Linked DNA regions of Alligator mississippiensis. The protein of the gene in region 2 purifies or fractionates together with the protein of the main gene of each other region. This does not show direct contact. Links are inferred from orthologs where the notes say so. Each region holds a gene or a part of one and is shown on either strand. Other genes may lie near its edges.

Region 1 (7,732 bases), on a different chromosome or scaffold from region 2:
AAGAGACTGCCAAAAGGCAGATTGCTAGGCCACCATCCACTGAAGACCTGGTCATGTTCCTGAGCACTTGGTTGGAAGGAGGTTTCAGGTGAGATGGTGGGGACCTTACCTCACTGTGGCCCACCCCTGTAATGGCATATCATGCCTTGGGAACTGTATCTGCTGCTGCTGGTCATGGCTCAAAAATCAGTGGGAGCTGGAGGTTTTGGCACTCCAAGCCCCAACCTCCAACCAGATCACGGTCGGTGCCTTCATGGTGAGGATCAGCCTAAAGGGGTTCCTGGAACAGGCCATGGGGTGAAGTACATCAACAATTTGAAGGGGAAACTAAACCATAGCAAAGTCTTCAAGGTTACCTTCAAATGGGATACCAGCAACCACTTTCTGCCTCAGGGAAACTTGGTTCACTTTACAGACAGGTGCTTCACCTATTCAGCTTACTTCAACTATTTCCATAACAGCACCTTCCATGGCAACTGGGACGAGGTGCTGGAGCTGCCACTTTGAGAACAAGCCTCTGCTCCATGTCCCATGTGGCTGCAAATCGCACGCAAGAATATGGCAACTTTGCAACAATACCATACAGGACTGGCTGGTCCCAGTCATCTTGGTATCAGTAGGGACAAAAACCACATGGTCCCAGCCTGCAGCAGCCCACCGAGACTGGACATTGTCTTGTCATCACTAACGAAGATAGTAAGAAAATCCTGATTGTCGATGTGACCAGCCCCTTTAAAAACCAGTGGCAGGCTTTTGCTAAAACCTGGGAGTGAAAGCTGATGAAGTACAGCCTGAGACACTGGGAAGAAAGGGATACAATGTGATGGTGCAGGAGTTGAGCATCAATGTGTTTGGTGCATGGGATCCAAGCAATGATAGCATCCTGAGTGCCTGCAGAATACCTAGCACTACTTCAAGATGATGAGGCACTTTGTGGTCACCACCATCAGATGGTCAACGGCTGGCTATCATTGGTAGAAAGAGAACCAACAGAGGACATCAGCCAGAAGCAAAAGTGGGGAGCAAGACTACAAGAGACACCACCACTATACTGTATAGACTCTAATGAAAACCAAACACATTTCTGTTTGTACTTCACCCTGGGCAAATGTAGACTGCATGTTAAATGCAATGCATCAGACTGTTCTGTCATCCTCCAGCAGTGTGTACCATTGTGCAGGGTCCCATATTTCTCATAGGTATACTGTACCACATAAAAGTTTCAGTTAACATTCTCTCTGCCATTGGGGGACTGGAAAGGGAAAAGAAGCGTTTCTCTCATTGAACTGGTGCAGATTGAAAGAGGTGGGAAATCACTGATCTCTCTGCACAGTGGGATCCTGATCTTAGCTAGAGTGTTTTGTTGCTACCATAATACAAATAATCATCTGCTGTTATTTGTTATGTTGGAAGCATGTTAGAAAGATATTTTTCTCAACTCAGTGTCCATTTAGAAAATACAGGTTCTAGCCCTTTTCCTGTTGGCCTTTTTGATCACTTCATTAAATCAGCTTTGCTTATTAAAAAAAAAAGTTTAGGAACTGGTTTGAAAATTAGCTTCTATAAATGAAAATAGCAATATTCAACATACTACCTGTCCCTATAATAGTGATGTTGACAGAATTAGCCATAAGAACAAGCTACTCACAAGACACAGGAACTAAAAGGCTGGCCTAAAATTCCCAACCTCCTCTTAGCAAAAGGATCAGAGATGTGATCTGATACTGTCTAGAAAACTGGAAGTATACTGCACAGGGTGAGCCATATTTAAGGAAATGTTTAAGTTCTTATAAGTTTCTTCTTCAAAGTTACTGAAACATGTCATCTAGTTCCTACTGTGTGAACATTCCCTTAATCCATGTTCACTAACAGAATATAAATGCTGCAGGATGCATGATGATGATAAAGCCAGAAGGAATCATTATGATGAGTGAGACTAACCCCTGCGCATAATGCAAGCCAAGGGATTTTATACTAGCAAGTCCTTCACTGCAGGGACTTATTCCTCTCTGCGCTCACTCCTGGCCTGGCTGGAAGGTGCACACTAGGGCTGTGTGAAATTTTGCTGCCCGTTTTGTTTCAACGCTGTTTCAAGCCATTTCGACCTCGAAACAGCAAAGTCAAAACAGAACAGGCAGGGCTGAAACAGGGTCGAAACAAAACAGGGCAGGTCAAAACGTTTGGAAAAATTCAAAACGTTTCGAGTTTGGACCAGGAAGCTGGGCTATGGGCTTACCTTCAATGGCTTGGCTTGCTTCCCTGCGGGGAAAGAGAAAGTAAAGTAAGGGGATGGAGGGGGAGAGGTGAGTGGGAAGGAGTGCTGTCATTATTGACATGTGTAACTGGCCAGTGCCTGTCACCCTTCTCTGAGGTCCTTTCCAACCCCATTGCTCTGGGGGAGGGACAGAAAAACTGCATAAAAGGCAGCATTTTTTGGACCTGCTCCTGCTTTCTGCCTTGGGTGACTTATTGAGCTGTCTATTCTAGCAGCTCACTGTCAGACCACTAGGGCTAGCAGCACTGATTTTCTAAAGGGTTCCCTGCTTGTTACTGTAGCGAGAGGGATTTCAGAATACCTTTTTCTTGTAGGTGCTTTTATTATTGTATTCATTGATTTATTCTTTTGAATTTTATACTTATATTGGATAGGGTTACTATAGAACCTATTCTATATAGGAATTTACTATATATATTTGTTTTTATACGGACATTCTTTGCACCATACCAACGCTATTGAATTTATATCCACAGACATATATATTTCTACCATGTTCATAAATCTCTTGCCTGCACCAGTAGTACAGATTTGAGTTTATATAGGAACACAAATACATTTATATATTTCTTGAAAAGGAAGTCCTGAAACACCTCATGAAGAGTGGTAGAAAGGCAAGTGGCAACACTGGCCAGCCTTCAGGGAGGGGTGGAAGAGGGAGAGCTGTAAGTCCCCCCTACCCCTCACCAAACTGAGACGCAGCCTCTTTCCTCCAGCTGAAAGGGATGAGGCCGCTAAAAGCAGCAAGGAGAGGGGAGTGGTGCCACTGCCACTGCCCCGCCCAAGACTGCATCCCCTCCACGCTCAGCAGCCATAACCGCACCCCACCATGACCACAACCAGCAGCACCAGCACCATCGCAGCAGTCTACTCCACCCCTATGTCACTTCCCATGCTGAGCCTTCCAGTGCCAGAAGAAGAGCTGGCGCTGGATCTGGATCTCAGTGCCCTAGCAAGGGAAATTCTGGGGAAGGAGGGGGAATCAGCTGAGTTTGTGCTTGGAATTCTGGCACACTGCAACCTGCTGGACATCTGACACCCTAGGTACCTCTGCACTTTTACATCCCCCTTTCCACCTCACCCTTTCCCTCACCCTCACGCCTCCATTTCCATTTTCACTGACTGCCTTTCTTGCCTGCATTGCGTGCCAGGCCAGCCTCTGGCTTCTTTACTATTCCTTCCATCCAGGACCAAGAGACACACCAACCGCAGGTACTTCCTCAGCCTGACAAAGGGTTTTTCAACCTGAAAGCTTCCTAAGAGATATTTCTCTATTCCTTTTTTTTTCATAAAGAACATACAAACATAAAAACACAGGATAAGCCATCACACACACCACGAGTAACATATATCCAACACAACATCTTTACTTCTTGCTGTCAATTCCTTTACAAGAAAGGCTCTGTGACAGTTGTTTGGCTACTTTAGATGCTGCTGGTGCTATTGCTGTTGAGCCAGCTACGTTTTCACCTGCCATCATTTACTGTGGTAGACTGGACTGAGGCTGTAGGGGAGGAGGACTCACTGGGGCACACTGCTGTGTCGTGCAGAGGCCCCAGTGCCAGGAAGGGCGCACCTGAACACACAGAGTCACCCACCCATGTCATGAGTTTTGCCTGTCACCAGCCAGAGGTGTAGGGCCCCAGAACCCAGAGTGCCGCTGCACCTCTCATTGAGACCTGGTAGGCTTCATTACTTCAGCAGGGGCTAGCAAGCCTGCAGTTTTGACCCCGCTGTGGCTTCACACATACAAGTGATAGGACTTTTGCTCTCAAGACTTTGGGGTGCAGTTTCTTTGAACCCCCCTACATCTATCTCCTTGAAGCTTGGCAGGCTTCATGCCCTCGTAAGGGGCTATCATTCCTGCAAGTTTCATCTAAATCAGGCCAGAAATGACAAAGTTATAGCCTGTTTTGACCTTCCCCATTATATCCTACGGGGGAAATGTCAAAACAGGTTCGAAATGTAGAAATGTTTCCACAGAACGATACGGAACAGCCGTTTCGACTCGAAACAAAACGCTGTTCCGTCGAACCGTTGGTCGAAACAGAATGCTTCCGTTTCGCGCAGACCTAACGCACGCTGCTCCTTTATCTTCGATCTGCTACCAAAGGTCACAAGAGCAATATTGTGCTACTTGTCTTCAGCAGAGCAGGGTGAGGGAAGAGTTAGGGCCAGATCCAAGTACTGTCTGTAAAACATCTCTGAATGGTAGGAGGAGGCTGTAAAGGAAATCCTTTTCCGACCTTCTTGAGCCCATGAAAAACTGTTACCGTCAGAGAGCGCTTGCTTCTTTTTGTGACTTTGTCCAATTTAGGCTTAAAACTTAGGCACGTTGCTGTTTTTTTCAGGAACTTGAGCTGGCTGGAATAAGATCATGCTTAGCCTCTCGGAAACCACGGGGCAACATGGCGGGGGCACAGGCGGCACAAGCTCGTCCTGCCGCCTCAGAGGCGAAAGCCCGTCCGGCCCCCGCCGCCCAACTGGTCCGGTAGGACCTGCCTCATGCCAAGGGTCCGCTCTGGGCTGCTCCACGTCGCGCCCGGGAGGCTGTTTTCACTGCGCCCGCTGGAGGGCGGCCTCGCCCGGGCCGGGCTCTCCCAGCTCTGCTCCTCGCTGCTCCGAGCCGGGGGCGGCGCCGCAGCCGCTGCCCGTCACAAGCGGCGCCGGTAAGCAGCGGCTGCAGACGCGGCGTCGGCCCGGACTGCGCGCACCCCGGCGGCCGCAGGGAGGGGAGAGGGAGACGAACCCGGACCGGATCAGGCCCGAAGCCATGTCACTCGCCCACGCTACGCCGCGGGCCCCGCTGAGGCCGTGCTGCGCCGCCGAGCCGAGGGCCCCACAAGATGGCGGCCCCGAGCCAGGCGCGGCCGAGCCGGGGGATGCTAGCACTTCCGGCCCCAAGCACAGCGGAGCGGAAGTGCGCGTTCTGGCCCCGCCCTCGGCGGGACGAACAGGGCGGGACTACGGCTCCTTGGAAACGGAAACGGAGGCGGCGGCGATGGCGGCTGGTGTGGGCTACGAGTTGCGCTCGCGGCAGCGGCCCCCGGCGGGGGAGACGCCGGCGGGACGTTGGGCGGGAGACGGGGCCTCGGGCAGGGCGAGGCCGTCGAACACCGCGCCCCGGCGCGGGATGCCTGACGCGCCGGCAGGTGAGCTGGAGGGCCCTGGGGCGGGGGCTGGTCCGGCCCCTCGCTGCGGCTACGCTCAGCCCCGTGCCCAGGGCAGGTGGCTGTGGCTGCCCTTCCCGCTTGCGCAGGGAGGCCCCTTCCCTTCCCTTCCGGTGCGGCGGCACCAGCCCCTCCGCTAGCAGGGAAATGCCCGAGGCGCCGCCCGCCCCGAGCCGCGGGAGCCATTGTGATGGCAGCACCTGCCCCGCTGCCGCCCCCACGGCTGCGGCTCTGCCCCCAGGAGGCGGCTCTTCGCGGAGGGCGGGTCGGCAGCTCGTGGCCCGCCGGCGGGGTGGTAGGGAAGGCTGCGAGAGAGGCCCCCCGCCTGGTGCCCGATGCCACAAGGAGCTTCCTGTGGGGTCGCTGCTAAAAATCTCTAGGGAGGTTTCATGGACTGGAGTCTCCTGAACTAGGGTAGCTTCCCCCCCCCCCCCCGGGGGTGTTCCCAACTGTGTTAGGTGCTAGTCCACCCAGCAAGGTGGTAGAGCGGGTACTGCATCACTAGAGGTGCAAATTGGGGCTTGGCTGAGCTGCAAATGGTTTCCCAGCCATTGTGGGTGGGTGGTCGGCAGTGGGCAGGTATGAAGGGAATCATCCACTTGCTCTCTTTTCTTGTCAGCCACCGAGCTGGTGTGCCACAACTGATCTGTCCCCCGCCCCTTCCCTCCCTACTCCCCCTTCTACCACAACAGACTTACCAGCTGCACACAGCTCTTCTCCTTGCCTACATTTATCTGCCACAGTATCAGGCACATCAGGCCGGTTTCTGATACAGTCGATTTTCTTTATATCGGTGCTGATCCGATATTGGACTGACGTATCATGCACCTCTAGCCAAGAGCGTTCTGCTACTTACTACCTTCTGCAAAGAAATTGCCTTCCTCCAAGCTTCTATGTAGCAAGACCTCTGGTTTCACAGTTCCCTGAAGTTTAGTTATTCCGTGATGGTTAGGATAGTTTCATCTGTGCTTAGTAGAGTGGAGTTACCCTGGGGTTTGTCTTTTTATTATTATTATTCTTGCCCTCTTTTACAAGACTGGGGGTTTTGCAAGGGGTTTGGGTGTGAGGAAATTAATTTCTTAATCCACTAATGATGTAAAGGGAAATTGACAATCCACAGATTATGATCACTGATGCTTTAGGGTTGAGTTGGGGGGCAAATTTGGTGTATGATTAAACATGGCGCATTCACAGAAATCACTCTCACATGGTGAACGAAAGGATAGGATTTGGAGTTTTTCTTGGATCGTATTGCTCATTCAGGATTGAATCCTACCTGTTTGCTTTTTTTTACTTTAGGCAAAGGCTTATTTTGACTTCTACATCCAAAATACAGACCTCTAGCACTTGAATTAATGGGCATCCTCTTCGTGGAATATCCATTACAGAGGGATGAGGGATGCTTTGCCAATGGCATTCAAACTTACTTCCCAGAAAGCTGGGAAACTTTGGGTCCTGGGGATCCTGGGATCATTTTCAGGGTCTAGATTCGATTGTGTCATAGTAGTTATAGATGCCTGTGCTCCTGTCCACCATACTTGTTTGCCTTTTTTTATACACAGCCTATTCTATTCCCACTCCCCTTCCTCTTGGCTTCTGCTGGTACCTTGCTCCTTTGCCCTAGATATACCATTCACTTTGTCCTCCCCGTCCCACAAATCTCAAGCATATGAACAAACTGCTTGAGGGTCTGGTGTGCCTGCAGTGGGGGAGGGAGTAGTTTAATAGTATTCTTGAAGGAATGGAATGGAATGGAATGGAATGGAATGGAATGGAATGGAATGGAATGGAATGGAATGGAATGGAGGGCTGAAGTGGTTGGGAGAAAGAAATGATGGCATGGTGCTTGAGCTTGTTATGCATTTAACACATTCTTTGTTTTAGGGAGTGAATATCCCTTTGTCAAATTGACTCGACCCAGCATAAGAAGTTTTCAAAGGGAAGGTAAGTAGTGATTTCTACACCCAGTGGAGGAGCTTTTCACTCCTTGCAGTCTAATACTATTGAAACAGATTTCTAGGGAGTATAGATCAGTGGTGAAAGCAGGGAGTAGGAACTGGGGGATGGCCTTGGTTCCCTTTCCAGTTTTACCATTGATTTGTTGTATAATGTTGGGCACTTAATCTTGCACCTCATATGTTTACCTTTCAAAAGGGGAACAGTGCTCTGGTATCTTGTAAGAATTTTTGAAGATTGATTGATTCTCCCAGCAAGGATGCTGTTGGGGGTGTCATCATGCAGTGTTAGCACTGTTAAGTGTGCAAAGAATGTTTTCAAGATAAACTCA
Region 2 (7,879 bases):
CAGTGAGGGAGGGAGTGGGGCTTGGGCATGGTGGGGCACAGGGCAGGGCCATGGGCAGCTTGCTGGGGGGACTGGGGGGCAGCTCCCTGCTGCTGCATGCACCCCTGGGGGAAGCATGTGGGGCCTGTGCCCCACAGATTTGTGTACAAGGTGAGGGTGGGCTGCCCGCTGCAGGCTCAGGGCCAGGGGCTGCTCTGACCTCTTCCCAGCAGGAGGCTGAGCCAGAGCTGTACTCAGGGCAGGCTCAGTTGCGCAAGGTGGGCAGCAGTGGTGGCGGAAGGGGTGGCGACGGAGAACTTTGGGGTGGCCATAGCTCCGTGGCCCCAATGCCACCTCTTCCAGTGCTGCTGCCCGCCCTGTGCAGCTGAGCCCATCCCGCCCCCACTCCCACCCTCGCCTGCCCTGAGCGCAGCCCTGGCCCAGCACTCCTGCTGGGAAGTGGCCAGCGAAGCCCTTGGCCCCGACCTCGCAGCCTGCCCTCGCCCAGCCCACAAATGCAGGGGGCACATGCCCCCCATGCCACCCCAAACAGTGCACAGTTTTGGGGAGCCGCTCCCTCCCCCGGAAAAGCTGCCTGCAGCTCCACCCCATGCCCTGCCCTGCCCCAGCTGGGCAATGCCTGCCCCAGCCCCACTTCCTCCCTCATCGTGGGGGCGTCAATCTGCCTGCTCCTCCCCCTCCCCCCTCCAGCACAGGCTTAACAGCCAGGCTGCACATTGACTATTGGATCAGTATCGGCCAATATGGCTGGTTAATAATTGGCTATTGGTATGAGCCAAAAAAAAATCTTTATCAATGAACCGCTAGTTAAGATAGCTAAAAATTTTTTAAAATTTCAAGTGTATTTACTTCAGTCAACTTAAGGTGAATTTTACCTCCCTTCTCGCCAGTGTTGAGACAGAAAAGGATCTCGGAGTCATCACTGATGCCTCAATGAACATGGGCCGACAGTGTGGGGACACGGTCAGGAAGGCCAACCATACCCTGTCGTACATCCACAGATGCATCTCAAGCAGGTCCAAGGAGGTGATCCTCCCCCTCTATGCAGCACTGGTCAGGCCGCAGCTAGAGTTCTGCGTCCAGTTCTGGGCGCCGCACTTCAGGAGGGATGTGGAGAGGGTCCAGAGGAGGGCCACCCGCATGATCAGGGGGCAGCACGGCAGGCCCTATGAGGAGAGGCTGAGGGACCTGAACCTGTTCAGCCTCCAAAAGAGAAGGCTGAGGGGGGACTAGTCAAGGGGGACCAGCAGGCATTGGGAGAGTCCCTGTTCCCCCCAAGCAATCCCAGGAGTTACAAGAAACAACAGACACAAGCTAGCGGAGGGTAGTTTCAGGCTAGACATTAGGAGGTGCTATTTCACTGTCAGGGTGGCTAGGACCTGGAACCAACTTCCAAGAGAAGTGGTGCTGGCTCCTACCCTGGGGGTCTTTAAAAGGAGGCTAGACGAACACCTTGCTGGGGTCATTTGACCCCAGTACTCTTTCCTGCCACAGCAGGGGGTCGGACTAGATGATCTCCTCAGGTCCCTTCCGACCCTACCAACTATGAAACTATAAAGGTTGAAGTCATATTAAAAAGAGCATGTGCTCCTTAAAAACATCTATTGCTGATCACACCTACCAAGGGAACTCTACTCAAGGGAAAAGAACCAGATTTTAATGGCTGAACTTTCACATAAAAAAAAAAAAAGTTGTTGATTTTTTCTGAAGTCTCTTTCAAAAAGTTAGGTAACATAGCGTAGTTTAGAATGCAAAACCCCACCTTCCCAAAACACACCTAACATTTCTTACAAGTTAACTGATGTATCACATCACATTATTTATCTTGTCCAATAGTCCTCTGCAGGAGAAAGCTTATATAAGTCCCATAACATATCTAATTGGTTGCAGCCATGTTCCCACATCACAACAGACAAGTTACACAAACCAGAACAAAGAAGCTAAGAACACCACACAAGTTGGGAGGGAGCATAATTTTTGCAGTAAAACATCCATTTGATTAACCTCAGCATGCTTGCTACTGTCAAGGTCATCTAGAGGAATCAGTGCCCTTCAAGGGACAACTGTCTTTTTTTAGCAACTATCTTCCCTATATGGTAATTAATCTATGATACTTTTCAGCAGTCTTAACTGTTACTTGTCAAAACTGTAAAAATGATTTATTTTTATAGTTTAGCTACCTATGGAACTAGAGCTGAGGTTCAGCCTCTAGAGCTCACAACACCCTGCTGTGACCCGAGGACAAAGCTCACATCACTGAGGAGCAGGGATCTGAAGATGCAAACACTACAAATAAAGAATTAAGATGGTTCAAGAATTAAGATGGTTCAAGACTATGTATCAGCGGAATTTCTTCCCTTTACTATCACTAGTTAATTGAGCGATAGTTATTTTGCCAGCATGGCTGGTCTAAACTCATTGTGCGAGTCACCAATTAAATTGTACAATAATTACTAAGCACTTGTGGCGTGGGCAGTCTTACTTTCTGCGTGGGGCTGGTCTGCATTTATAGCGCAATTCACCTATTAATGGTGTGATGACTACTTGGCGCTTGGGGCTAGTCTTATTTTGTACATGTGTCCGGGCTACATTTATAGCGTGATTTACCTATTAATGGTGCGATCATTACTTGGTGCTCAGAGCCAGTCTTACTTTGCACGTGTGGCCGGTCTACATTTATAGCGCGGTTCCCAGCGCACAGCTCGGGCGTGCCCTCTAGCGCAGTCGCAGCGCCCTGCTAGGCGGGCAAGCTAGGCCTGAGCAGCCACCAGCGATAAAGGCACCGCGCCTCCTCGAGCTCTCTCCGTCCGAGCCGGCGGCACGGCTCACAGCGCCCTTGCGCGCACAGCCGGGCCAGGACACACGTTACATGTAACGCTCCACGAAGGACCGCGAGAGCGCGGACGGGAACGAGGCTGCCCCCCGGCGCCCTCCCCCCACCGGGACGCACCTTCCTGCCGGCAGTAGGACATGGTGAGGGACTCGCGCGCCCGGCGCTGACTGACCCCACCGGTGCCCCGTCCGCCCGGTCTCCACGCTGCGAGAGGAAGGCCCCTAGGCTGTCTCCGCACTGCCTGCTGGCAAGCAGCGAAAGGGGGAGCACGAGGTGCTGCGGGGACACCCTGGGGAGCACCCAGCACCCTGCTTCTGCCTGCTGAGGGCCGCTTCGGAGGAGTTCAGCCGGCAGCTAAGCGCAGGCACCTTCGTGGCCACCCTCGGCTGCAAATGACCCCTCCCGGCATGCTTTGCATAGGCCGCGCTTCTCCTTCCCCGCCCGCGCCAGGATTCGCTTTCCCGGCACGCCTCGCGGCGGCCCGCCTGACTCCCGGCGTGCCTCGCGGCTGCGAAACTACAACTCCCGGCATGCCCCGCGCCATCGTGCAGTGCCCGCACCCGTGAGGATGTCGCGGAACGTAAGTGCTGCCCCGCGCCGAGGGCCCCGCGTGTCCGCCTGTCCTGGGGGCGATGCTGGGAGCAGAAAGCAGAGCGGCAGGTCAGGGTTGGGAGCAGCTAGGCGTAGGAGGGGCAGCAGATCAGGCTGGGGGCACAGGGCAGGGAGCAGAAAGCAGAGCAGCAGGGTCATTAAAAAATTAATGAAAACAAGGTAAGGCAGCAGTTAACAGAGAGAATCTAAACCAGTGGGTGCATTTTAAACTAAAGGTCTGATCCGTCCCCAAGTGGTTTTGTGGTGGTAGGAATATAATATATCACGTTATACTGATAATCATTAGAAATTTCCTACGTGTTTCTTGATAGATCCTTCCATGCATACGTGCCAGTTTGCTGTCTCTAACATTTCATTTTTGTTTTCCATTAACAGGTCTCTGACGCAAGCAGCAGAAAAGAACATGTTAAAATTACCAGTGAGCCCAAACCAGGGTTCCTGGAGCGGCTCAGTGAGACATCTGGGGGGATGCTGATTGGGTTTGTGTCGTTTTCCCTTTCTTTCTACGTGCTTTTTACCAATGAGGTATGTGAATTGCATGTCAAGCCAATGTTTTCCTGTATGTCTCGAGTCTATGGCACTTCCAGTCAAATTCTTTCTTACCTGAGTGTTTGTAATGTCAAACTGCAAAGCATTTGGGCTGTCCTCTAAGCTTTGTTATTAATTCATGTGTGAGAAAGGTGGAACATATGGGAAGAGCCTGAATCCTATCACTGGCTGAGTTGGGGACATAATAGAGGAGTAGGATATTGGATAGGAGAGCTGTTTATGAGAGTTTTTGAGAACTGAATATGAAGGGACGTGACGGGAACATCCAGAGTAAGCAGTGGAGTACAGGGAAGAATGAATAAATATTAGGTGGCAAGTGGAACTGAAGAGCATTACATGGATTTGCACATGCCTTCTGTGTGCAAGTGCCTCTCGTGTAAGTCGCTTCCCCCTTTTGTACAACAAAGGGAGTTAATGATTCTGTTGTACTATTGCATAGGGGAGGCTATAGATTTCATACTCTAGTTGACTTGCTTTGCTTGTGTCAAAACAAATAGTAGCCACAAGTAAGTAAGCAACCATATTCCTAAAACCTTATTTTTACATTCCCATCTTTCCCATGCTTGCTCAGAAAACTGTTAGAACTTATCTGAACTATAGTGTAAGTGTGTAAAGCTAGTTTAATCTCCACAAAACTGAGTAATTAGCTATACTACAGGTTATTTAATACTCTAGTTTCAAACTGTTTGTTTTAATTTGAGGCTAATTTTAGTTCTGATTCTGCAAATACTCAGGCCCTCAGCTCCACTACCTGTAATACATCTCCCAGAATTAAATGAGCTACTTGTGCTAGCAAACCTTAAGTATGTGCATAAGAGTTTGCAGGATTAAGGCTTTCCTTTATCCTGAAAGTATTTTTAATCTGATCTGACTGGAAATCTTGGAGTGGAGACAGAATTTGGTGAAATTTCAGAGCTTCACCCAGAAAACAAAAAGCTTCTAGCATGCTACCTACATAAATGAAGAAAAAGAATTTTTGCTATCTCAAACAGAAGTGTGTAGCATAAAGAGCAATAACCTGAAGTTAAGGAAGGGAATATTATCAACCAGTCAGAATAATTGTATGGTAAAATAACGCCATAGTAGCATCCATACTATCATTAGTGACTAAGGTCAAAAGGAAGAAAATAATTTTAGGGTATCATGGTAGGAATATTGTGCTGGTGAGTATGTACATTAACTTTAGTGGTTTAGTTGCATGAAGAAGTATTGTTCTTTCAAGTAAAAATCGGGCATTAAGATTGAAACAACAAATAAGTACAGATGTTTCATGCCATGTGCCTGATCATGCTAGCATTTTGTGGAATTTGTGACACAGTCTTCTGGTTGGTTCATTCGTTAATTCAAGATTCTTCCTCGTTTTTTTTTCATTGTATTCTCTTTTAATTGACTGCAGGGACGAGCTTTGAAGACAGCCACCTCTCTTGATGAGGGCTTGTCTCTTGTAATTCCTCTTGACAACATACGCACCGTGTCTCAACAAAATGAGGGGAAACTAGTGCATTTGTCTGGTGCCCTTGCAACATCAAAGGCAAGTAAAATAATAGTGGCCAAAAATTAGTGCATAAGTTGAGGGAATGGAAAGCTCTTCTGCCAGTTAAAACCAGGCATACTTGATATGCAGAAATACTTTGGAATCTAAACATGCCCTACCTGAGTATGTTGATGTTTTCAATTCTTCCTCACATCTGTACTGTAGAGATTTTGGGACTTGTCATTGCATTCAAAAAGATGCAAAGACTTGAGGATCTGATGTGGAAGCTGCACATCTTCTTGTTAGATCAGATATAATTATGTTGTGGTTAGTTCTTTTTCCAAGGCATGTCATGATGAAATAATGGCCAGCAGAGAAGACAAAGGGTTCATTTTAAATCTGTTCAAGCATGGTTGAATGCTTTGAGTAAGGGACAGTGAGCCAGGACACCTGGTTATGTTGCCTGCCTTTCCACAGGCTTGTCTCACTTTCTTCAGGCCAAATTTATCACTGCTCTAAATAGATAGCATGCACTCCCTCCTGTGCCAAGACTTTTTATACTGCATCCATTGCTGGTATATCAGTCACTTCATGGAATTTATCATTTGTACCAGAGTGAAATTTGATTATCCACCCAATGTGCACATTTCCTTTTATTCACGTGGCTTTGGAAAGTATAATTAACATAAATAGAGTTCTTAAAAATCCTCTGAAAAAAGATACACAGCAGTAGTGCAGAATTATACTGTTTCTAATGCATTGTTTCATTACCCCACTTTTTAAAATTTACTTTGGGTCTTGAGAGTTTTGTTCTTTTTTTCTTTTTTAACATTTTGAAGTGAAAACATTTCCATGAAATCCCTTTTGTGGCATAACAAAGTATGATTTCCCCAACATAAACTTGAACAGATCAACTTTGCTAGCAAAAATATGCAGGTATTTTTATGCTGAATTGTGTGTGTTTGTATTTAAACAGCCTTTGTTCGATCCCAGCTATGGGCTTTCCATTCAGACTGTCAAACTCAAACGTAATGTAGAAATGTACCAGTGGGTAGAATATGAAGACTCCAAGTAAGTTGCTGCTGCTTTAAGGCTCTGTTCTGAGTTTAGTTTTTTGACTTTACCAACATACTGTTTAAATTTAAGGAAGATAGACTGGGTGATGGATAAACTTTTTCATGTAATTTATTTGTTATGTGACAGCCTGTGATTTCACTTTGGGATTTCGTCTTGTTTGTTATGTGACCCTTGGGATTTCACAAGCTTTTGTTTAGTTTTCTGTGCAGGTTTCTTCTTGGTTTTTTTACTATGACCCCCAGATTTGTGCAGATGAACCCCCTTGCAGGGTCAGAACACAATGAACAAATCCTTCTAACATCACCCACCCATCCCCTGACCTCCAAGAGGATGTAAAAACTTACACCCACTGCCTTACCTCATTTAGCTCTATCTCAGCCTGCTTAAAAGCCACAGCTGCAGCTCAGCCTTTACCTTCTTGTCTCCAACACTGTTCTGTTCCAAGCAATGTCAAGAGAATCCAGAGAGCCTTACATTTTCATAAAAGTCCACAAATCTGTTCAATTGACGCCATCATACTCTGTGAGCTGTGCTCCATCTCAGTATTTTACTGTCTTTTTTTTAATAAATAAAATATTTTAAATTAAAACAAAAACAAATCCATGAGCCAATCACTTTCTTAGTTGACCAAATAAGCTGTACAGTATAAAATGGGAAATCTATAATAAGTACCAGTATTAAATCAGAACTGTCCAGCTAATACCTGTTACCTAATATAAATGGAAATGTTTTGAAGTAGTGTTTACACTGTTGCAGTTAATGACGTACATCTTGGAACAGAGGTGTGGACTCTACTCTCAGATCTGCCAACAGCCAGTAAGTTGGTATGTGACTTTGGACAAATCCTTAATTTTCTCTATTTCTGCTTTCATGTGTATAAAACTCCTGTACAATGGGAAGAAAAAAAGTACCTAATTTGTGGATAATTCATTAACTTTTTGTTTTGTTATTTCCCTGCTCTCCCTCCCCCCACAAATAGTATTAAAATAATTTCTAGCAATTTCAGTTGCCTGGAAGTTCTGGGGTGCCCCAGCAACATTGAGCCAATTGAAGTTTACCTGTAATCTTCCAAATGCCTGCCTTCCTTCCAGGGGACCAGGAGTCTTAATCGACTCTTTACCTGTTTGATTGACAGGTGTAATATAACAGCAAAATATTATTTGCCTTTACTGTTTGTTTTAAGTTAGTATAGTTACTAAACATGGATCCACAGGCATTCACATAATTTTTAGAAGGTTACAGGTAAACTTCAATGTTGCTGCCTCCCCTCCAACTTTCAGACAGCTGGAATTGATAAAAATCAAAATTTTTCTATTTTTTTTTTTGGAGGAGGA

The links. Proteins that work in one complex are often made in the same cells at the same time.
Region 1: the proteins of CHCHD4 (region 2) and TOR1AIP1 purify together in Homo sapiens (co-immunoprecipitation; 3 studies listed by BioGRID and IntAct, with this or other methods). This does not show direct contact. The link is inferred for Alligator mississippiensis from reciprocal best matches to the Homo sapiens genes CHCHD4 and TOR1AIP1.

What each region holds. Positions count from the first base shown.
Region 1 is NC_081828.1:51,637,101-51,644,832, forward strand, and holds the start of TOR1AIP1 (torsin-1A-interacting protein 1), read left to right. Parts: upstream 1-4,652; coding exon 4,653-5,427; intron 5,428-7,329; coding exon 7,330-7,389; intron 7,390-7,732. UniProt on the Homo sapiens protein: Required for nuclear membrane integrity. Induces TOR1A and TOR1B ATPase activity and is required for their location on the nuclear membrane. Binds to A- and B-type lamins. Possible role in membrane attachment and assembly of the nuclear lamina.
Region 2 is NC_081835.1:16,918,780-16,926,658, reverse strand, and holds the start of CHCHD4 (mitochondrial intermembrane space import and assembly protein 40), read right to left. Parts: upstream 3,071-7,879; 5' UTR 2,973-3,070; coding exon 2,951-2,972; intron 2,928-2,950; exon of another isoform or gene 2,627-2,927; coding exon of another isoform or gene 2,608-2,626; intron 1-2,607. Other genes in the region: TMEM43 (transmembrane protein 43), read left to right, coding at 3,402-3,413, 3,821-3,970, 5,391-5,525, 6,445-6,539.